Linked DNA regions of Lonchura striata. The protein of the gene in region 2 purifies or fractionates together with the protein of the main gene of each other region. This does not show direct contact. Links are inferred from orthologs where the notes say so. Each region holds a gene or a part of one and is shown on either strand. Other genes may lie near its edges.

Region 1 (7,262 bases), on a different chromosome or scaffold from region 2:
GCAGAGCAGAGGTGAAAAGAGATATTTTGGTACTTCAATTACTTTTGACCTTCAATTGTTTGCTTAGCTTTTGTTATCAATATTACAGTAGTATTTACTGCCAAACTGCCCAGAGTCTATATGAACCCCTGTATGCAGTTGTGAGACTGAAAAAAGGCACACTTTGTTTCACCTTTAAGCAGTCATCGTTTGATCATTTGAATGTCCCTCAACAGAAGAGAAACTCACAACACTAATATTTCCCAGAGCGTTGTACAAATAGATCCCACAATCTCACATAAACACAATCCTCTGAAGTGAAACAGAGCAGGCACTGCTGTAAATGCAGATTAATGCTGCACAGATCAGGTGTGGAGTTCACCACACCTTTATCAACCACCCTGAATGGAAGTCAGAGAGAAAATTTAGTACTTTCCTTTCTTGCCATAGATCTCCTTGAAAAATAAAAGCAATACAAAACCAGGCTTATAAAAGCACAGCACTTCAAGGACAGCGTTAGCAACACACCCATGTGCAGACACATACATTTGAAAGGCACTTGTCAAAGAAAAAATAAATCTATCCTCTCCCCTGTGTCAATACAGCCAGAGCAGGAACTTCAAACCCCATTAGCAGCATCCTGCAGCCTGAGATTTCTCCTCTGAAATCTCAAAGCAGAACGTAAACTGAAGACATAAGGAAAGTGGCAAAGGCAGCAATTCAGCACCTTCCCTTTGAGGCCATACAAAAGCCGGCATAAACTGCCTTTTGTGCACAAAAAACCAAAGTCCAGCCATGTGGGTTTATTGTGGACAAAGGCAGGTTTTACAGAAGGAAAGCCATCACTCTCAGGCTCTGGACAAACAAGCTGCTCTGAACTACTCTCAAGGAGAGCCTGTTCCACACGCCAACATCCTAAATGCACACCACAGCTACATAAATACAGCATCAGTAATAATGCATTAAAAGGCAAAGGTACAAGGCACCACCAAGTGAGACACAGTCCAAGCTAAAGGCCAACACTTTCAAATTCAGCCACTGATGCAGGAAGCTGGTGCAACTGGTGTGACTGGAAGGGAAGTCCCACTGACCACAGTGGCGGGACTGCTTCAGCACAGAGTCCCCTTGAGTGACATCTGCCAAGCATCGCTTCCTGCCCCGAGGAGGCTGCGTGGGATGGCTGGGCACATCTCAGCATGGCTGCATTTCCTCTTGGGGGAATGAGGATGTTTTGAAAACATAGGTGGCTTGCAAAGCACTTTGGGATGCATGTGGATGAAAAGCACTCTTATGCACATCAATAATTAGCACTAACTGCCGGCGTGTCACACCCTCCATGTAGAGCATTTAGCAGATTTATTCAGCTCTTGCTAGAATGCCAGAGCACAAACTGGATATTCAGACCGTGATGTGAGCGCCCTTTCATGGGGCAGATGCTGGGGAGCTAATGATGTTTGATGAATTAAGGCCATTGGTGACTCAGGATCAGCAATTAGTTGATTTCTGCGGGAGGAAGGTGCTTTGCTCCATTAAGCTAAAAGCATCCTCCACAGTTCAGCATGCACAAAGTCATTCTGTCCACCTCCCACAAAGCCTGCCTACGTTCATTTGGGGGTTGGTACTTCCCACATAAACACTCAGGTTTACCTTACTGGATTCCCTAGCAGTTCCATCCTTCAGCCTTGTGCCAACCTGATATTCCCTGGAAGAGCATAAGGCACACAAGGAAAGAATTGCCAAGAGCAACTGGACGCACAGTCTAATGCAAAGGGATATGGTACCACTGATGTCCATGGGGCTGACCCCTTTTTTGGGCAAGGCTAATAACACTATCACAAATCAGACACAACCACAGTCCTGCTCTAGCCTGCAGTACGGGACTACAGACATCCATCTCCCTCTCAAGGGTAGGCAGTGATGCTTCCATCAATCATTAACAGGCACTGGGGAGACACCAGCCGCACTTGTTCTGCCTGCCATTCCCCAAACGCATGCAGGCAAAAGCAACAGGACCAAAGGATGATCTGGCTGGCATTACCCCAGGAAAGGAGAGCATCCAGCTCCCTCCCAGAGGCTGCATTCCAGTCATCTGAAGGCTGGCTGAGGCTGGTCGCTGGTGTCAGGGAGTGGGACCCTTGACATCCCGGGGAGCGATGTGCCAAGTCATAGGACGGCAGCGCGTTTCTGAGCGCTAACGCTCGTGGCACATGGCAGGACTATCAGGCGGAGGACGCAAAGAACAGTTATTTCTTTCAATGAGTGGGGAATGTGACAGAGCTGGCATTTGGACCCTCTTTTTACAACTTCTTTGAAGTGTTTGATCTCAGCCGCTAACGACACAAAGACTATCGAAGCGCTACTGGTGCTATCTTCAAAGGGTTCCGAGGTTCAATGATTAATAGGAGCCCTGCACGGGATGGAGGAGAGCGACTATTACGGGAAGGTTGGGGGGATCCAAGACGCGGTAGTACTCTTACTCTTTGGGACCAAGGTACTCCCAGCCTCCCCTAAAACAGCCGACTCCAAAGGCGGGGGTGTGACCGTCGCAGGTCCCGGGTGAGCCCGGCCACCGCGGGGCGCAGCCAGAGCGGCCCCGGCGCCGCGTCCGCTCCAGCGCGGCCGTCACCGCCCACCCCGCCACCCCGGGCAGGGAACAAGCCGGGGGCCCGGAGATGCTCCCACCCGCCTTCCCCGAGAGGCGGGGAGCCAGGGGCGTTCGTTCCCGGCCCGGGCAAGGGGCACCCCCGCCCAGCCGAGCCTCCGCGGCGGCGGGAGAGGCGGCGGCAGGTGCACCCGGGCTGGCGGCGGAGGAGCGGGGATGGAGGCGTGGGGAATGGATCCCGGCTTTCCCGGGGCCCGGGCGAGGATGAGATGGGGTGGGCTGAGACTTACGTATCTCCGCAACTTCTTCTCCGGCGGTGACTTTCGGAGCCAGCCCGAGCACACCACCTCCCCGCCGCTCATCGCGGCAGCCGGGCGCCGCCGGGCGCTGCCTCCCGGCGCTCAGCGCCGGCCGCGCCGGCCCATGGAGGGCGGGCGGGGCTGGGTGGGTGAGCGGACGGATGGATAGATGGATGGATGGGTGGGTGGAGGGAGGGAGGGAAAAAGGGAGGGAGAGATGGAAGGATGGATGCGGGGGGCGGCGAGCGCCTCCCCCCGCCGCCGCGGCCGCTGGGCTGCGAGCGGGGAAGCAGGAAACTGGCTCCTTCCCGGCTCACCACGCCTCCGCCCGCCCGGCGCCCCGCCAGCCGCGTTAAAGACACAAACCCGCGGGGAGAGGGGCTGCCCGGCCCCACGCCGCCCCCAGGGGCTGCCGCTCGTCCCTGTCCCCCCCACACTCACAGAGTGCCTACAGAGAAACTTTATCCATGCTGCAGCAGGTGATCTCTAACAGCGCAACATTTCCTTAATTAAAAAGTACAGCTCCTCCCCTGTAATGTTTCATTATCCCGGGACCCTTCCCCTGTCTTGAGGGAAGAGGTCCTTCTCACCTCGGAAAGGCGAGGCTGGCTTTAGCCTCTCTGTGCTCAGAGGCTTGTGCCTGAGATGAAGGTGCCATAGGAAAATAATGAGGTTGAGCAAGAAACAGCCAAACACCAGTGATGCCAAAAACCCTCCTGAAGGAAAAAATATAGCAATAAAAAACCACGAGGGGAATCAATAAAAGCTTCGTATTTTATTATTGATTTTTAAGTAATGGAGCAGTGGCCACTGAAAGGGGATTTGACTGCCACTGGAGTCTCATGCAGACAAGCCAGGTTTTGTATTACAGTGTATTATACCCTGGCTGAGATTCACTATCAACTTTTAGATCTAGAAACACTGTACATTTCAAAGCCTGATCCTCTCCTCTCCAGCTCAGACAGTAATAAAACATCTCTCCACAGCCCTTCGAATTGGGTTATGCTCTAACCTTGCTTTCACTGCACCCTTTAAAGCAATACTTGGGCATGGCACCCATAAAAGCTGAGTCCTCTTAGCCCACGCTCATGTGGAAAGCACAACAATTTGCTAGGGATGAATTTCTAAGACCTGTCTCTATACAACAGCTCTGCCCCAAACCTGCTTGGGCACATTCAGTCATCCCTGCCTCAGCTTCCCTGCCTGTCCAACCTCTATGGGCAGGGATGGTCCCTCCTTATGTGTTTGTGCTGTAGCTGGTGCAATAACAACTCCATGCTGGCTGGATGTGCTACCGTATGTCACACAACAACAACCTTTATATAACGTCACTCGAGCAGGGATCTTGCAACACTTCAGAGCAGTAATTGCAACTTGCAGTGCCTCTGGGAGGCAGGAGCAACACCTCTTTTCAAGATGGGGAGAGCACGTTTAAGCCATATGTTGTTTATCATCTTTGTGAATGCATAAAGAAGGGGAATAACCCCTTACAGAACAAGTCAGTCATTTGTTAGGAATGTATTTTCTCAACAGCTTTGTTTTACTGCCAGTGAAATGCAAAGGCTAAATAGGAAGATTTTTCTATCGTCTCACTACCCAAAGGAAGAGCTTGATCCTAGTCCAGTGCTGGGCAATCTCTGCAGAAAGAGGCTGTGCTCAGATCAGCGTGTCCATCTCTGCCAACACAGCGTGTGTGGTGGGGCTGAGAGCAGGGGAGAATGGAGGGACCAGTTCTGTGCTGGCTTCAGTTGACATCACCTTATTCAGCACACTGGAGCCATATCAATTTACACCGCATGAGTGCAAGAGGCTCACCTGCAAACTCTCCTGGTTAGAGGCACTTTGTGTATTCGTAGAGAAAATTGTGTCCTGGTGGCCTGCACTTCGGAGATCTTCCCAAAACAGAAATTTCAGGGAGGCTGGTGAGCTACTGGGGATTTAGAAAGATTTGATTAAGAACAGATGATCAGGATTAATACAAAGGTATCATGCAAAACTATCCCATGGTGTATGTTAATGATTCACAAGTTAGGAATTCACTCATACTTACACCAATGCAAAGTGGTATCAGTTTGAATACCAGTTGCAGAGAACCCTGTCTGCATTTTTATGCTAACAACTTCCACCACACAGAGTTGGAACACTTCATTTGGGTAATGGATGTTTAAAGAAAAGCTCCATAATTATCATTGTGTGAATTGGAATGAATTATTCTACATGTTCTATGACAGCCCTTGGTTTATTACCTTGCTCCTTTGCTGTACTCTTCCTTCTCTCCACTCATCCCCTATTCTGGATCCCATTTACTGACTTGGTTACATCACAAGATATATCCAAACAGTGTCCAAAATATTAAGTACCCCTGTAAATTCTTTTTTCCCATGCTTTTAGTGATGCCTGACAGGTATCTCAGTTTACTGGAACTTTTGGATGGGAAATAGGTTGCATTTTCTGTACATTTGAATGTGCTGCTGTTCTCAGATGTGACACAGAATCACAAAATTATTGAAGTTGGTAAAAGCCTCCAATATCATCAAGTCCAACTGTAATATAAGCTCTGTGCAGAAAAATGCTTCAAAGATGCTGCACGTGAACGTGCCTCTCCAATTCCACTGTGGCTGTACACAGAATGGGAACAGTGAGTTAATTCTGGCATCAGGTTTCCAGATTACATATGATCCAATGCATGTAACATTACAACGCCTTATAATGCTGGCCCTCCTTAAAGCTTTTGGCCAGGAAGATACACAAATACTACCCTCAGTGCCCCTGGGAGTTAAAGACGATGTCTGTCATGAGCACAGCTCGATTTGGCAGCGCTTGCACGTTCGTAACAGTTTTTACCAACTTCAAGCTGTTCCTCCAACCGGCAGTGGAGAATGAACTCAGGCTGGCCCCAGCTGACTGTGTAAATCTCTGGAGTGTGAGCTAACAGCCAGCAGCCTTGGCGGAAAACTGTGTGAAAACCGCATCCCTGTGTTGGAAAAATCTGACAAGGGAGTTATGCGAAGCCATCGAGAATTCATCTCTGCCAGCAGAAGCAACTGAAGGAGGAACAGCAAAATTAGCAGATATAGCAAGGGAGAAATTAAGAGACGCCGTGTAAGAAATATTTCTTGAACAAGGGTAAGGCTGAGAGAGAAACATTTTTCTAAGAAAAAGCCCTTGTACTGTCTTTAACTGCCGTGCTGGGGTGCACGACAAAGTGACACTTTCTTCTGCAGAAACCTCCGGGGTTTTTAATCGTAACCTTCAGTGTGGTTTCTTGTGCATATCTGAAACCGAAAAATCAGAACTTCTAAGAAAGAAACCACAATGTCCACGGCTACTCCTTCCTGCTCCAAATTTATTCAAATGAGCTGTGCCATCTGCTGGCAGACGGGAAAGCTGCAGGCGGAGCAGTTCGCTCCCAGCCGCTGGTGCAAGCAGCCGGGATGGAGACACCGGGCATTTCCTGTGCATTAAGGACCAGCTGGCTGAAACGCTCCGGGCCACTTACTCCAGCCAGGCACAAATCCCTTGGAAATGCCCTATACGGTGGTTAATATAAACCGAAACAGGCTGTGGGGATGGGAGAGGAAAGGCTTGAAAAATCTACCGTGTGCTGCTTCGTGCTCCTTGCCTGCTTTTAATTCTGAGCGAATGCTCGGTCTCGTGAGATCCAGCTCCACAACAATAAGACCCGACTTTATCTTCATGCAACAGTTCCTGCAGCAGAGCGGGATGGAAGCAGCTTTTTGATTTAATGAAAGAATTTTCAAGGTTAAAAAAAAAACCAAAAAAACCACCTCTTTCAAGAAGGCAAGTCTTTTCAAGCTTTCCACCCTCCATAGAAGAGCACAGCAAGCCCCCCAGAATGACTGCAATTGAAGCCAAACCACAAGGCAGTCCTTTCCTTCTTGTGACAGCAGCTCCAGCAGCACTGGCTGCTTTCCATGAGCAGAGGGAATAGTAGCAAAAGGTGCTTTGATCAGATAATGAGACAGTTTGAAGCATCTTCCGTGGAGTGTTGTGGCAAAGACAGGGGCATCAGTCTGATGCCTTAATACAGGCTTGAAACAGAGATGAGATGATGCAGGTCAGCAGTGTTCAAGGCACATAGATTTGCATGGAGTTGATGGTCCTACTTTGTCCTCTCTCTGTTGGAGATCCCGGCCAGAACCAGCACATCCCATCTGGGATGGATACAGACCCCCTGGGCAGCACAGGAAGGCGCCTGGGGTGCTGAGCTGGATAGCGTCTGTGGCTGCAGCTGGAGGACACTGCCAGTCCTCACACTTGAAGATGATTAAAGAAGACTTCCTATTCCTATTCAGTCAACACTGAAGCCCAGTGCTATTTCTCTCACCAAACTAAACACTTAGAAATAACTTTGCCTGGAG
Region 2 (7,825 bases):
TCCTGGTAACTGCAGGAAACCCTGATTACAAACTTTTTCAGAGAATACTTTTTTGATAGTGAACGCTGGACTGCACACAGGGTCTGGAAATGCAGGCTTTATTACACTGCAATATTAGAGACTGATAAATATTCCTTTTTTGCCTACAGAGTTACTTGTCATATGTAGGAATTAAATGTAGCCTTCAGATATAAGGACATACCTCTCTGATGTGGGAGTCACTAGAACCACTCCTTCCAGACTGTAAGTGGCAATTTGTTTCCTCTGCAAACAAATTATTATTTCTAACTGACATCTAACTCAGTGCAGTGCATTTTCCATTTTAACCAGCATCTCTAGACAGACCAGTGATGCCCTGTATCATACAAAGATACAGGGTTATTCTTGTTATTTAGATGAAACCTTACTTAGCCTCTTTAACAATGAAAAAAGAATTAATCATTCTTTGTCTAGCTCCTTTTCCTATGTGTACCGCTAGAGGGTATTACTCACTGTTACAAATAACCAACCTGAGAGGCTAATTCTTAGATTACATACGAGAATAGAAGACATTCATGAGTAATTAATGAGCCAAAGAAACATCTTGAGCAAACTTTGGGGAGAGTGGGTGTTCCAGCTTCTACCCTGTCACTCCTTCTGTGTGTGAATACTGATTCTAGAGAGCTCATCCACATTCCATTTATCAGCATATGCTATTTTGTGATTGCATTATTCACTAAATGTTGCAGTTGGATGCTCTGAAAAGCTAATGAATATAAGGCTTAGAATGTAGTTGCAAGGAAATTACTTAAAGCAGATGATCATCTACCTTAGCATTACATTATTTTTCTCTTGTTTTTACTTATTTGAGTGATTTATATATAATATATATATTATATATATATTTATTTATATTTATATATAATATAAATATATTTGGTATAATAACCCTAAGTTACTTGAACTAATCCTAAGGGCAGGTAATACTTGGTAAAAAAACAACTTTTTGCTTTCATCCCCAAAATTTATTTACATCTGACGACAATGTGACTGTTGAAAGTTACAGTATGCACTATCTTACTTGCATGTATTTCATTTAGGTAAAAAACCATGGAGTTTAGCTCAAACCATCCTAATCATTTTTTAGCAGTAGCTCACTTTAGGCCAGCATGTCCTTTTTTCAAACTAGCACACAGGCTAAATAATAATAAAATTGCTTTGCTTTAAAAATGTAATTTTCTTTTACTCAGCAGACATAAATTACTTCTTGTTTACTACCATTACCTATATAAACAAATCGCAGGAAAGATTACAGGTTGATACACAGGGCTGTAATTATTATTGATTGGTTTTCCTATCAAGAATGATGCTTCAGGAACTGAACTTTCACAAGCCCACTTAAGCTTTGTTACCTCAAAAGAAACATGTACTCATAGGGATTTCAAGCTGATTCTAGGTTGTTTTTTTTTATATATAACTTCTCTGGTGTCCTAAATATGTCAGTCTTGTATCTGACAGTAAAAGGCTTTTTTTTTTTTTTACAGTAAGCTCCCTGAGCCAGTATAAAACAAGACATTGTGGACAGATGGACAATGAACTAAGAAAGCTGTAAGTTATTTCTGGTCTGTGAGAGAACAATCAAACAGCTCTTCCAGAAGTGAGTGATCAAAATACCAACACTCAAACTGCTGATACATTAGGAAGTCCAGAAGAATGGTAATTAGCTTTCTTGATGATCTATTTTCCTATTTCCTGCCAGCACAGAGGTAAAGCTGTACAGGCATATTTGCCAGATTTGTAATTAGTGGACTTGTATCCTGAAGTATTTCAGGCTTACATTTTCCATATTTGCAGAAATGATTGTGATTGCTTCAGTTTTGTTTCATAACTGCTTTCACTACTGTATTTCTTCTCCAGCTGTCTATTTCCAAATCCAACATATCCTTTCCCATTTTCCTCATAGTTCAAATTAGGGTCATTAATTTTGTATTGGAAGCATACCCAGTACTTGATTTGAAATAAAATAAGGATTCTTATTCTGTAGCCTTGGCAGAAATGTACTTCTCCTTACTTAGGGATGAGCCACATGTACAATTTATTTGGAACTCAGCCCAATTGATGGGATCTGGTGAAAGGAAGAAGCTTCTGGTGAAAAGGAAGAAGGAACAGCTGGCACAGGGAAAGAGGTACAGGGCCTTCTCAAGGGAATATTCTGCCAGCTGAGGTTTTGTTTCATGGGCAGCTGATGCACTTTTGAGCTCCCCCCTGCATTACAACTGGCCATGCTCAACTGCCAACAGGTAAAGTCAAAGAGCATAAAGGTATTTATATGTACTAAAAAGGCAAAGTGGTACCAGACATTCATCCATTCTTCCTAAACCAAATGCATTTGTAGGGATGTAATACACCTGAGATGATTGTCTGTAGTCTAGGAAGTTGAAGCACAGTCTTATCAGAAAGCATTAATGATGAACAAGTTAACTTTTGCTCATATGGAAGATACGATATGAGATATCCCTCATATGTGGGATCTTTTTCCTAAAATACCTGGTTTAGTTTAACCCCGGTTAATAAAACAGAGGGAATTACTTGAAGGATGCACACAACCTGCACATATACAAGTTCAGAATATCTAATTTCAAAGTTCATTCAAACTGAAAACCTCTCCATGCCTTAGAATCCTCTCTGGATGGGAAGGTGGAAGCATTGGTTCTTCAGCAGCAGTCCAGCCCCATGCAGTACTGCACAAAAACTGGTTTAGAATACTACTTATTTCTGACCTGTTCAAACTATATTGAGATTCTAGTATTATCTGTACAAAATGGAGGCAAAATCACTATACATATTTGATTTTTATTTTAACAAAAAATGTAATTCAACAAAATGAAGCCGCAGGAATTTTTATTTCCTTTTTATATACTATGAGTTACTAAATGTGCTGCTAACTTACAGCTTTTATAATTATTTTTAAATGTTATTTAGTATATTATTGCAAGTTCAAGTGCTATCTTTTAATCTGTATTTTGGCCATGGTCAAACAGAAAACAAGCCAGATCTGTTCAATGACACAAGAAAACATCATAACCTTCATATTCTATTATAGCCTGTCTACAAGTGTTTAAAACTGGCTGTTACTAGCAGACACAAGCACTTAAACCAGGAGGAATGGATCAGAGGTATAGCTACTAAGTAAGATTTCCTAGTAATGGACAAAATTTTTTTGCATAGATGTGAATTTTCAGATGTAATTATTCATCTCTAGGTCACTGTTTTGCTGTACATGACTAACAGCTGTTGTTTTCCACCCAGGAGATGGCTGTATGTCAGCAGCTGGTAAAACGATACCTGCTCATGAATTCAGGGGCTGCTTTAAGATCCTTTCATCTCAATGATGAGACTTCTCCTGGATGGCTTTGTCTAAATCATGACACTGGAGAAGTCTTCCATTTCAGATTTGAACTCTGCTAAATGTCTGCAGAGACACAGCCCATATGTTCCAATCCAGACACCTCGGTTGGCACTGGTTGCCAATGGAGGATGAGGAACAAAGGAAAAATATGACTATGTAATGACTGAACTTTTGGAAAAGGCAGAGCATGAAAGAAAGACAGCAAAGCTGGAATAACACTGCACAACAGTCCAGCTAAGCGCTTCAAGACAGACATCTTAAATCTATTTCTCATTTGAACTGGCTTTTTTTTCTTTTTTTTCAAGTGCTGCTTCATTTCACATTGCCAGCCCTGAAGCAAAATGAATTAAAAAAGCACAAATTAAACGAAGTCACAAGGCTGAGCTAAAATCACACCGTTCTCGGAGGTTTCTAGCACCTCCGGGGAGGCAGCGCAGTTTTTCTGCCGCGCCCCCGCGCAGTGCGGCCGGACGGGCCGAATGGCGCTGCCGGCCCCCGGGGCGTGAGTCAGAGCCCGGTGCCGGTCTGGGCTCCCGGCGCCAACCTCCTCTCAAATTCAAACAGCTCATCCGCACCATGTGCCAAGCGCTGCCCCCGAGCCCTGCCGAGGCCTTTCCGGGCCTTCCTTCCTCCTCAGCGGCTGCCACACCATCTTCCCTCCCGCCCGGGCCAGGCCGGGCTTTGACCCCGTTATCTGCGAACAAAGCTACGAAGAGGCAGGAAACGGCCCCTTGGAGCACGTAGGAAATTATCTCGAGATCAGAGATGATTATCACGGCGGGCCGTTTTGTTCCTTAAAAGAGAATTAATTAACTAGTAAAAACCAGCAAAACCTCAGGAGAGGTGGTGTCTGTCTGCAAACCGCCTGGGGTGAGGGTGCTGGCACCCCTCGGGTCCGGGAGCAGCGAGAGCAGCCCGAGGCAGTCCCGGGACAGCGGGGAGCAAAGCCCGGGGCTGGGCGGCACCGAGCAGGGAGAACGTGCCGAGAGGGATGGGGGGAAGATGGAGGGGCCCCCTCAGATACCTGAAGGCCAAGGGCTGGGGAGTTTCTGGGGGGTGTCCCGCGTCAAAGCGCGCCTGCAGCACTGAGGGAGCCCTGCCCTGTGAGGGGATGCGGTCACCCCCGCCTCACTCACCGCACCGAGCGGGGGTGCACCGGGGACGGCTTGAGTGACTCTCGCGGAGGAACGGGGAAGGGGCGGCCGTGCCGCTCCCCGGGGCGCCGGGACGGGGCTCCGGGGCTCGAACCCCCCGCCCGGCCCCTGAGGCGGGCGCGGCCCCGCGCCGCCGCCGCCGCCACGGCGCGTGCGCGGGGCGGTGTCTCGCGGCGCTCGCGCGGCCCGGCGCAGCCGCCATTTTGGAGCTGGGCTCGCGAGGGGAGGAACCCGCGGGAGGACGCGGCGCCCGGCGCTTCAGCCTCCGCGTCCCGCCCCGAGCCGGGCCGGCTCCGCTCGCCGCCTTCCCGGGCCGCCCGCCCGTGCCAGCCGCCGCTGCTCTTCGTCACCCGCCTGGCCGGGCCCGCCGCAGGCCTGAGAGAGGCGGGAAGGATGCCCTGCACACCCCGCCGCTGAGGGAGACTCGGGGGCCCTGCGCGCCGCGTCTGGCCAGCCCCACCCCAGCCGCTCCTCGGCCCTTCGCCTCCAGCGGCGCGGAGCTTCCTTCTCCCTTATCCCCCTTGCCCTGGGTTTCCTTTCTCCTGGACTAAGCACGAGCCGCTTCCCGCTCGCCCCCAGCCCGCTCCACCTCCCAGGCCTCTCTGCCCAGGCCTCCTCCGGGTCTCTTCCTCCGCCAGGGCCTCCGGGCTCCTCACCTTCCTTCCTCCCTTTCCTTCCCCTTCCCCGCCCGGAGCCATGTCCTCCGCCGCTCGTTTCGATTCGTCGGACCGCTCCAGCTGGTACGTGGGCCCGGTGTCCCGGGCGGAGGCGCAGACGCGGCTGCAGGGGCAGCGGCACGGCATGTTCCTGGTGCGGGACTCGTCCACCTGCCCGGGGGACTACGTGCTCTCGGTGTCCGAGAACTCCCGCGTCTCCCACTACATCATCAACTCCCTGCCCAACCGCCGCTTTAAGATCGGCGACCAGGAGTTCGAGCACCTGCCCGCCCTGCTGGAGTTCTATAAGATCCACTACCTGGACACCACCACGCTCATCGAGCCCGCGCCCAGGTGAGTGTCCCCCGCCACACCCACCGCCACCTTTGCTCCGGGTGGCGCCAGGAGGTGCGACCTGTGAAGGTGTCACAGCCCAGCCCAGGAGCTCCGGAGCCTGGCACTGGGTGTAGATGCTATGAATAAATACTAAGGAAACGTTCGTTGCTAACGCTGAGCCTTAACGCTCTGGATCTCCCCGACAATTAAAAGTGTTGCTCTTTCCGTGCAATCATCCACTCTCCCTGTGCTGACCTTGTGTGTAAAGGTACCATGTACATCTGCCACGGGCTGAAATGGCCTTGAAAGAGGGTGTGGTCGCACGTCACCCTTTTTGTGTTACTCTCTTCTTCTAGCATTGTCTCTCTGTTCCAAGGATGGTTGAGAAGCTGGTTCACCAGTCCTCTCCGTGATTGAAGTACAGCCTCTGAGCTTAGTTTGCTGTCTACCCCTGCACCCACACCGATTACAATAGGACTGGCTTTTATGTGATTAGACTGCTTTGCCCTGTTAAGTCAGCGTTAATACATAGGGCAGCATTTCCCAAACTTTTAGAGTGGCATTTCTGCACCAAAAAAATGTAAAACACTTATTTTCTCACAGATTGCTTATGGTACTGTTCATCTATATCTGCATATACCATACACTTCACTGAGAAATGCTGTTCTAGGAGGATGGGAAAATGTGACTTGGCTATGAGCTCCTTCTTTGTCCTGGTCCCAGCATGGGACATACCTGCAACATACATCAGTAAACTGCTTATGAAGACTCCTATAACATATTCCTTACTTTTAATTAATAAAGCCTTTCTCAGTGTCTTTTGTCAAAACTTTTGGGCTTCCTGGAGAGAATGAAATTAAATTAAATAAGAGAAAAGTAGGGACATATTGAAAAAATAAATCCAAATTGGTTCACTTCTGAATTTTAATATCTTATTATGTTTTGCAGATTAGCAAGTTCTTAGGAGGGAAGAATAACTTTTAGGTTTATAATCACAATTGAACCTTGGCCTAGACCAGTACTTAATGACAGTCACTTGTCAAAGATTGACAATAGCTTGTCAAGTTGAAAACCCAGGTGTTCAAAAGTCACTCTGAAAAGCTGTTAAGTGATGGGCAGGATGTGACAAAGCACAACCTTCAAGAACTATTCAATCTGCTGGCAGCCTTTTGGGTAGTGATTGTGGCTAGAGAGATGGGTAGATAAAAAAAATGGTTTTCACCATTGCAGGAATGCTTAAATGGAGCTGCCCAGTGTTATGTGCATGCTTAAACATGTGGAGAGTTGGGAAGAAAAAAAGTCTTATGCTGAAGCAATCTTCATGGTTATCTCTGTTCTCTTGAACCTTTCTGGATGCAAAAACTTGTTCATAATCATTTATGGCCATGACTGGCTTGGCTTTCTCAAAGCACTTGAGAACTTGGAGCTGATTGCACTTGCACACTTGGTATTTGTGGAGTTTGAGGAGTCCTGTGTGAAATGTTCTGTGAACATTTTAGTACCACCTCATTTGCAACGTTTTGGTTGCATATTGTTCTCTCAGCACACAGACAAATGGGACCTAATCTGCAGGGAATTGACTTTTTTAGCTTTTATATAGAGCTACAAATGGGATTGACTAGGTCTTTTTCCTTACAATGTCTTTGTTAAAACTCTTAGAAAAATCAGTTATGTGGTTGATGGTTTTAAATTCTGTGCAAAGGAGACTTCCTGCTGCAAGAGGGATGATGAAAGGTAGAATTTCCAGATTTTTGGTGGGTTTTTTTTAAATTTTTAGTTAATAGACTAGATTTAGAATAGGGGTGGCCAGGTATGTGCGTCAGAACTGTTATGCTAATTCTTATTTTTCTGGCATTTTCCTGGGCACAGATGCTTGTGCTTTTGAAAGCTGTTCATTCTTAATTTCATAAAGTACAGTCTGAAAGGTGGTTTCTATATAGAGCCCTACAGTACTTCTAGATCTTAGAGATGACATCTTAAACTTTTAAAACAGTCCTAAATGGACCGTTTTAAACTTTGCTTCTTTTATGTCTCTAGTAGTGAGCTCTGACCATCCTTGCTGATGTTTCTGAGCTCTTGCTTATGCAAAGTAATTGTTCCCTGAAGGGTTCCCTCTGTCCCCCTGCTTTGGCTGCAGCAGGGTGTCTGAAGATGGAATATCTTTATCTTCAGGGCTTCTGGCATATCTTGCAAAAATCACAGGGATTTGACTTCCATCATATTTTGCAAGTAGCAAAAGAGAATTGAAGTAGGTTAATGACATGCATCCTTGCTATCATAGCTTAGATAAT
Region 3 (7,867 bases), on a different chromosome or scaffold from region 2:
GGGAGGTGTTCAGTACAAATTCCACCTTGTGCTTTTTGAGGACAAACCATGCTCAGCCAAAGAGCCTGGCTGATGCCTCCTTTGACTATGTACAGCTTTGGAGTACTGGTCTCTCATGTGACCATACATTACTTATTTTCCTGGAAACACGATCATGTCTCCTATAATTCTTATTTCTGTTACAAGACCAAGCCTAAAGTGGCCTAAGGTGAAGTTTCCATTGTGCTGAACTTGTAAAATGCTTCCTATTATAGAAAAAGTCTACATTTTCAGTACATATGTGCAAAGATATTGTCCTTATGGAGGGAAAAGCTTCTGATTAATTTTTTAACAGCGTAGACCTTAGGAAGTTTCTGCATGGCTGGCCAACCAGCCAGCCTGCTCCTTCTTCCTTGACTAGCCTAGGAAAAAAAGGGAAATTCCCTTGCATGAAGTAAGGCAGTCAACTGATCCTCTGGCAAAAAACAGAGGACAAACATTTACCAGTGAATTTCCACACCAGAATGGGGAATGAGTATTTTCCACAGAATACACAAAGGAAATCTCAATGTATTACACCTGTGCAGAACTGAAAACTGCTCCTTTTTTGTGTATGAGTTCTGCAGTATACTCTTGCCTTTATTTGCCTACATCAATATTAAATGTAATCACAGAAAAGAGATGAGGTAGCTTAACAACCAGTAAACAACTCTAAAGTGTGTGGACATACAGTCATCTCTTTTAATTATGTCTGGTTTTATTACTTTCCTCAATGTGCTTGCCAAATAATCTAAATAACTACATTCTGAAAGAAACAGTAAATGTCATCTGCAAAGTGACCAAAATAACTACATAGATTAAATTTACCTGGGAATAATTTTGAAATCAAAATGGAAGTATTTGAGATGAAAAGAAATATATAAATGCAGAATTTTGCAAACTTAAAAGATTAATTCTTTTTCTTCACTGATTCATTTTTACATAAACACCTAAACATGTTTTAGGATATAGACTGACATGCAAAATTTTTTGTTAAACTAATTTATACTTTTTAATTAGACCTTTGGTTCTTTTTTTGTCAAAGTACAAATTTTGTGTTCAAATGTAAGCAGGAGGCATAGAGGAGTTTAGGGATCACTATCAGGAGCAGCTGTTTGTGACTGCAAGGTGAAACCACAGGGGAATGCATAGGTTATCATACTAGAAGTATAACACAAAGATAGTGCTGTAGTGAGCACCATCTTATTATGCAAGTCCAGAATTCTTAAGCTATTTGCATGAGAAATTAACATAATTTATATTTTGAAAGCAAGCCCATATGTATTTAATCTCCTCTTCTATCAGCTCCTGCTTCCTTCATCAAGGCAACTTGGCAAGCAAACCAGAGACAAATGGATTTCCACATGACCTACTTTATCTGGCAAGATATATAAATAGTCTACTCCAGAATTTTGAAGAACCCATTTAAACACTTTGGAACGCACTTGTGGAAGAACACAAGGTCAGTGGAGGAGTCAAGGCATCTTGCACATGCTTCCTGAGCTGGGAGGCAGCACCAGCACCGTGACCACATGTGTGTAGTCGTCACATTCCATATGACCATGGCATCACCTCGCTGGTTAAAGTGCACTTTATTGAGCATTGTGTGTGCTGCAGCTTGGTCACAATGTCCAGTCACAGCACAGGGACTGTTTCAGATGGCAATGTGGGATCCAGGAATGGCAACATTCCTAACATTCCCAATCCTGTAGCAGGATTTGGCACTGTAAGAAGAGAGGATGGATACCTCCAGAGCTTCCTCCTCGAGCTGCTCTGCTGGCCACATCCTCTTCTTCAAAACCAACAGCTGTCATTGCAACATCCTTGTTAAAAACAGGCAAAATAACCTTTCCTCCAAGAAAAAAATCCTCTTCCCTTCTCTCTTCTTCCTCAAAGGCCCTACACTCAAATACCAAAGATCTCTGTAATGCAAATAATTGAGCTTGAAACACCTTTATCTTCCAGGCTTCCCAAGGAACAGCACAGAAATAACCTGAGGGAACAAAGTGAGGGGAGAGGGTGGTCATGTCCTGACGTGGGGTTACAGTCCTTCAAGCCCTGAAGGGAGTTTTGTTCTTCCAAGCACAAGCTGTATTGCAGAAGAATTTCAAAATGGGGCATGCTTATATTGTTTTAACTTTCAGGACAGAAGTATAGCTCAGTTATTCTCGACAGAATCCTTGTGACTTTTATCCTTAAATTCAGGAAATTATGTCCTAGCCTAAGCTGGCTGAGTGTAAAAATTTTTCTACATGGAGGAACTGACTTGTGTAATTATTTCACCACTCTCTTCATAGACAGTTTTACAGTTATAAATATGCAGGTGTTAAGAGTCAGACCTAAATATTGTGCTCTTCATGTATTTCATTAGCCTTGTTTCAGTTTACCCTAATACAGGTTATCTAAATTATGAACTGTGGAACACTGCTGGATATGCACAGAAATCCACAAAATTAATATTCTTGGATTTTCTAGCTGTTCACTAACTTGGAAAGAGAGGTACAGCTCTGTGCAGCCTTCTCCTGAGATGGTAAGTGAAGGCATTGGTGGGACTGTGGATGCGTAGCTCAAATGGCTGAGAGCAGAAAAGAAAATCCACTGCCATGACTAGGAAAGGAGCAGTCCATGAGACAACATCTTAACATTTAGAAATTGTGCTTTGCTGTATTGTTTTCTTCAATTCCACAATGCAATAAAAACATTTTATGTCCAGTCATGAGGCTTGTGACTAGGCTCAGCAACTAAGTACAGTCTAAAAGGCAAGCTTTGTTGTTTACTATTCATCACTGTGACATTAACTCTTTTTCCCTAGTGTATACATGACAGGGATTAAACCCCCTCACAAAACTGATAAACAAATACATGAAAACTTAAGCTGGAGTCCAGGCTGACACTGGTTTCTGTGTGTTTTAGAACACAAATGTAATGTTTTGAAATTTGACCTCAGGGACAATCTTGTGTCTCTGGACCAGCTAACTTGTTTGGTTGGTGCCTCCATGGAGACTGCTTAACCCAAAACAAGCTTTCTTTGATTTGCCCTCAAAGCATGGGTTAATTAATGGGATTCAAATGAACCATTGGATCACGTCACAATGCCCCAGTGCCAATGGCATTTTTAGTTAGTTCACATTGGCTCCACATGTTCTAAATACTGAATCGTCTCCAGTGTTCCAAAGGATACTGGAAAATTTTGTGGTCTTATCTAGCACTTGAATAATGTCAAATGTTGAGATTATTAAACAATGGTATTAGTGGTTTAAACAAAAAACTTGCACTGAAACCCAGTTTGTAATCTAAACCTAAGAGTACAATTTTAGTTCATGTTTACTAACCAAATCACTTTTTTATTGTTTCCACCAGCCCCGCTGAGGAAGCTGAAATGATGGTGTGCAGAAATTCATGCAAGGATGGTTTGAATGCTCAGATTTATGTGCTTTGAAAATTGCTAAAGGCTGACATTCATATCTTTTCTTATTTCAAATGCTTTTGGCAAAATATCTTATTTTATGATCTTTCTTGTAGTGCTTAGTAATGCTTCATAATGTCATAATTATCATGACAAGATTTATGTTGGAATTGATGCACAGATTTTAACACCTCAGCCTTTCTCCTTTATTTTTTCCTGTTATTTCTTTGAATGCTCCTATATGCTACAACCACTGCTTTGTAACTTTTAAATACACTTATACCTAGATGAAATGTAGCATCATCGGGCTCCCTTCAGCCAAGGCACACTAGGGGGACTATTTCTCTGCAGTGAAACTTCACTGGGACTAGACAACAAAGCCGCGATCCCATTCCACAACCTGCCATTTAGTAATCTGAAAAAAATTTGTTCAAAAATTATTTTCGTTAAAAGTGTACTATTATTTTTTCTTTATTTAATAATATATTATTTATTGATTATATTTATTAATGTATTTGTTATTACTTATTTAACCCTTTTCTGACGGAGTGAAAAAGACAGAGAGCATTCACAGCAGAGCTGGTGAACGACCTGGACAATTAAGGATTTTTTTTTTTTTTTTCCTTTTTTTGTTATGGCAGTTTCAGACTTGCTATGAGAAATTTACTTAGGCCGCGCTATTTTTAATGCAGTTTTAATAGGGATCTTTAGGTTGGGTTTTGTTTCTTTGCTTGCTTGGTGTTTTCATTTGTTTTCCCCGCAGGGACCGAGCCCGTCCCTCGGCCGCGTCCCCTCCGCTCCCGGCCGCGCCGCCGCAGTTCTCGCCGGGTGCCGACTACAGCTCCCAGGATCCCGCTGGAAGCGTCGGCCGGCCGTCCCTCCCTGCCTGCCTCCCTGCTTCCCAGCCCTTGTTGTTTGAAAGGGCTCCGGCGGAATTCCGAGGGGGAGCCGCGGCGCTCGGGGCGGCGCCGGGCGGGGGCAGGCGGGGCGGCACCGCCGCTCGGCGCCGGGAGAAAGGGGGCTCGGGGGGGACGCGGCGCCGTGAATTCCAGGGAAAAGCCTTCCCCCGCTGGCCGGCAGGGAAGCGGACCGGCTCCGGGCCACGGCCCCAGCCTCGGGACAAGACCCCTCCCCGCGGAAGGGAAGGCGAGGAAGGGACGGCAGGCGTGCTGCCGATCCCCTCCTCCCGGCGCAGGGGGAGGAGGAAGAAGGAGCGAGCAGGGAGCCGCGGCGGCCGGCGCTGAGCTCGGAGGGGCGGGCGGGAGGGAGCGAAGCCCCCAGCGGCCCTGCCCAGCGGGAGGGTCCCGGTGGCACGGGGGAGGCGCCACCGGCGCGGGGCGGTGGCTGGATCCTGGATCCTGCCCCGGGACGCCGAAGTTGCGGCGGGGCGGCGGCCGCCCCTGTCGTCTCTCTCGATGTCCGTGTAACTCGGCGGCGGCGAGCAGGAGAAGGCAGGGAGGACCCTCCCGCCTCAGCCCCGCTCGCCGCCCCGCTCCCCTCCGGCGGGCTGTTGTGCGAGAGAGACAGACAGACACACACACCCTGCGCCCCGTCCCGCCCCTCGCCCCGGGAGGCCAGGCCGGGCGCGGTGCTGCCGCCGCCGATCGGGGCTCCCCGCGCCCGCTGCTCGAGGAAGAGAAGGAGCGGGAGGCGGAGGGAGCGCCCCGGCGGGCAGCGGCGCAGCCATGAGCGGCGGGGAGGTGGTCTGCTCGGGCTGGCTCCGAAAGTCCCCGCCGGAGAAGAAGTTGAAACGCTACGTGAGTGCCCTCTCCCACTCGCGGGCCGCGCTCCCCCTTGCTCCCTCCCTTCCTCCCTGCCCCGCTTCTCTCCCGCCGGAATTCCGCGCTCGCCTCCCGCTCCCGCCGGCCCGGCCCGGCCTCCCCGCGCGGTCCCTCCCGGCCGGGCCCGGGCGAGCCGCCCTCCCCTCCGCCTCCCCGTTCCAGCCGGGGCTTCTGCACGCCACGTCCCTGCCGCTTTCCCAGCGCCTTTTCTTTTCTTTTCTTTTCTTTTCTTTTCTTTTCTTTTCTTTTCTTTTCTTTTCTTTTCTTTTCTTTTCTTTTCTTTTCTTTTCTTTTCTCCTTAAAAAAGGAGAGCTGAGCGGTCAGATGTTTCAGCCCAGTTTTTATCGCCTTTCCGAGGGAGTCGGGAGAGGGCGGAGTTTTCCCCCTCTTCCCTCCGAGTCCGACCTCGGTATATATGTATTTTTAAATGTAAACACTTGCCGTCCCGGGGCTGGTGCCCGATCCCAGGGAGGGCGGGGGCTGCCCCGGTTCCGCGCCGCTCCCGGCGGGATTGCACCCCGGGCTGGAGCCGGGGATGCCTCGGAAGCGGTCTGGCTGGGGCGGGGGGAGCTCCGCTCTCGCTCTGCGCACCGGGAAGAAAAAAGAGGAGGCAGTTGTGAGAGAAGCGCCCGTGTCTCTCTCGAAGTTGTTGCCGCTGTTGCTCGGTAGTGGCTGCGCTCGCAGGGGCTCCGGCGGAGCGGACGGGAAAATGGAGCGCGTTTGCTGAGCGGGCAGATTCCATGACAGGGCACAGCGGAGCTGCGGGGCCGCCGGGGAGGCTGTCAGGTCACGTAGGAAGGAAGGATGGGTGATGCCAGGAGTCATCGCTGCTGGCTGAGCCCTTTCCCATTGGCACCCGGCTTGTTTCGCGGCATCTGTGTAATCGGGACAAAATGCTGGGCCTTTTTTTTAAACTCTTTTCTTCCTTCGCCTTCATTCCCTCCCTCCGCCCTCCAGTGTTTATCTTTTTTAAGCAGCTAAAGCTTCAGATTTATTTGAGAATCTGTGAATACAGATCTTAGCGTGACTGTGTTATTTTTGTCTGTTAGCGATTAGCAGTCTCTTCTTGAAGGGACTTTGGGCGGGTTTTTTTAAATGCCAGGAAATCTGTGAAATGAGTCCCTATTTAAATTAATAAACAATATTTGGGGTAGCCCATTCTCTGGTTCCCAATGTCAGAAATCCTCTTTGTGTAAAGGAAAGAGAACATCCTGATGAGACATAGCAGGGTTCTGCTTCCCCGCTGAATGGACTGCTTTTTTGGCCAATTCTCTATGTCTGTGTGTGTATTCACAGGACACCTCTTCACCAGTGTGGAGGAATTAAGAGCAGTATTCATGTTTTTAAAGACTTTTAATAAATTTTCCACTCAAACTCTAAATCCTGTGAAGGGTGCTGTGTGTAAATGGACAGAGTTTGCCCTCCTAAATCAATCTCATTAATCAGTCTCATAATATGCCAACTTTTTTCCATGTAGCTGCCCTTTCAGTGTATTTATAGCTCCATTTCTATACTGGAATTACACAAGAACCTTTGAGGGGAAAACCCCGACTACAGCACTGGTCAAGTGGTTCCCTGTCCTAAAGAGGTAATTCCTTAATTTTCATTTGAAAGGGGGATCTGCTTTTTGAGTAGGCAGACTATCAGGATGATAATACGGCAAGCTTACCTTAGCGTGATTTGGTTCAACATTAGCATGCATTGTAGGCCGTAAGATCATAAGTTTAAATCCTACACGTTATTTTTGACTCTTTTCTGCTTGTGTGAAAGAAAGATACCACTTAGAGAAGGGCTTAAAGTAAAATTCCTCCTGTTTGTCTGTAGTGCCTGCTCTGTTGCAGGCTGAAGGCTGACACTCCCTTCAAAGACCTAAAAGTGACCTTGACGTTATGGTAGCCGTCTTGGAGCAAACAATAAGTTGATGTATTTAAGACAATGAACTCCAGCTGAGTGCACTGGCTGGAGAGTTGGCTTGTGCTCCCTGTAATTCTATGCTTAAGTGAAGGCACAGCAGAGAGCTGCCTTTTCCAAAGCCATGTTTTATGGTGGTAGTATTTCAAGGGGCTGCACCAGATCAAAAGATGGGAAAGTGATTTCAACAGGAAACTGCTTTTCTGCAACGCATACTTTTCACAGGTATATATGGAAAATTGTAACTTCGTGCTCTATTAAGTTTTGCATGCAAATGTTGGGGCGAACCCAGGTTACCATCTGGAAATGGAGATAAAAAGTCTGATATTGTTTTTAAATATGGTTTAGTTCCTAGAAAGGGTGAAAAGGAGCACTTTGAAGCTAATATACAGACATAGCTTTCACAGGGACTTTGATTTTTAGTTTGAAACTGTTGGATGAGGTATTAAAGCTAGCTTATACTCATTTCGAGGCTAAAAAAGTAAAAACCCTCCAACCAGCCCTGTCCTGCAGGTGGTATTCCAGATTTCCTTGAGTGTATGCCTTAATGCCATGAATGTCTGTTTCTTCTCTTAGGAGTTCTGTTCTCATGCCTTGTTCATGTGGTTTTGTTACGGAATTAATGTTCTGACAGCCATTGGCACCTGCTGTCAGTTCCCTGGAGCTGCTGTTCAGAACAGTTGGAGGTAATAGACTGGTTGTTTCCAGCAGCACATCTCTGAGGAAAGTACAAGTAACTTTTAGTGCTGTT

The links. The genes of interacting proteins can lie anywhere in the genome.
Region 1: the proteins of CRKL (region 2) and GAB2 purify together in Homo sapiens (affinity purification with western blotting; 3 studies listed by BioGRID). This does not show direct contact. The link is inferred for Lonchura striata from reciprocal best matches to the Homo sapiens genes CRKL and GAB2.
Region 3: the proteins of CRKL (region 2) and GAB1 purify together in Homo sapiens (affinity purification with western blotting; 3 studies listed by BioGRID and IntAct, with this or other methods). This does not show direct contact. The link is inferred for Lonchura striata from reciprocal best matches to the Homo sapiens genes CRKL and GAB1.

Annotation. Positions count from the first base shown.
Region 1 is NC_134604.1:32,753,399-32,760,660, forward strand, and holds the start of GAB2 (GRB2-associated-binding protein 2), read right to left. Parts: upstream 3,014-7,262; 5' UTR 2,944-3,013; coding exon 2,872-2,943; intron 1-2,871. UniProt on the Homo sapiens protein: Adapter protein which acts downstream of several membrane receptors including cytokine, antigen, hormone, cell matrix and growth factor receptors to regulate multiple signaling pathways.
Region 2 is NC_134620.1:3,752,273-3,760,097, reverse strand, and holds the start of CRKL (crk-like protein), read left to right. Parts: upstream 1-4,819; 5' UTR 4,820-5,238; coding exon 5,239-5,552; intron 5,553-7,825. UniProt on the Homo sapiens protein: May mediate the transduction of intracellular signals.
Region 3 is NC_134606.1:64,919,127-64,926,993, reverse strand, and holds the start of GAB1 (GRB2-associated-binding protein 1), read left to right. Parts: upstream 1-4,854; 5' UTR 4,855-5,109; coding exon 5,110-5,181; intron 5,182-7,867. UniProt on the Homo sapiens protein: Adapter protein that plays a role in intracellular signaling cascades triggered by activated receptor-type kinases. Plays a role in FGFR1 signaling. Probably involved in signaling by the epidermal growth factor receptor (EGFR) and the insulin receptor (INSR).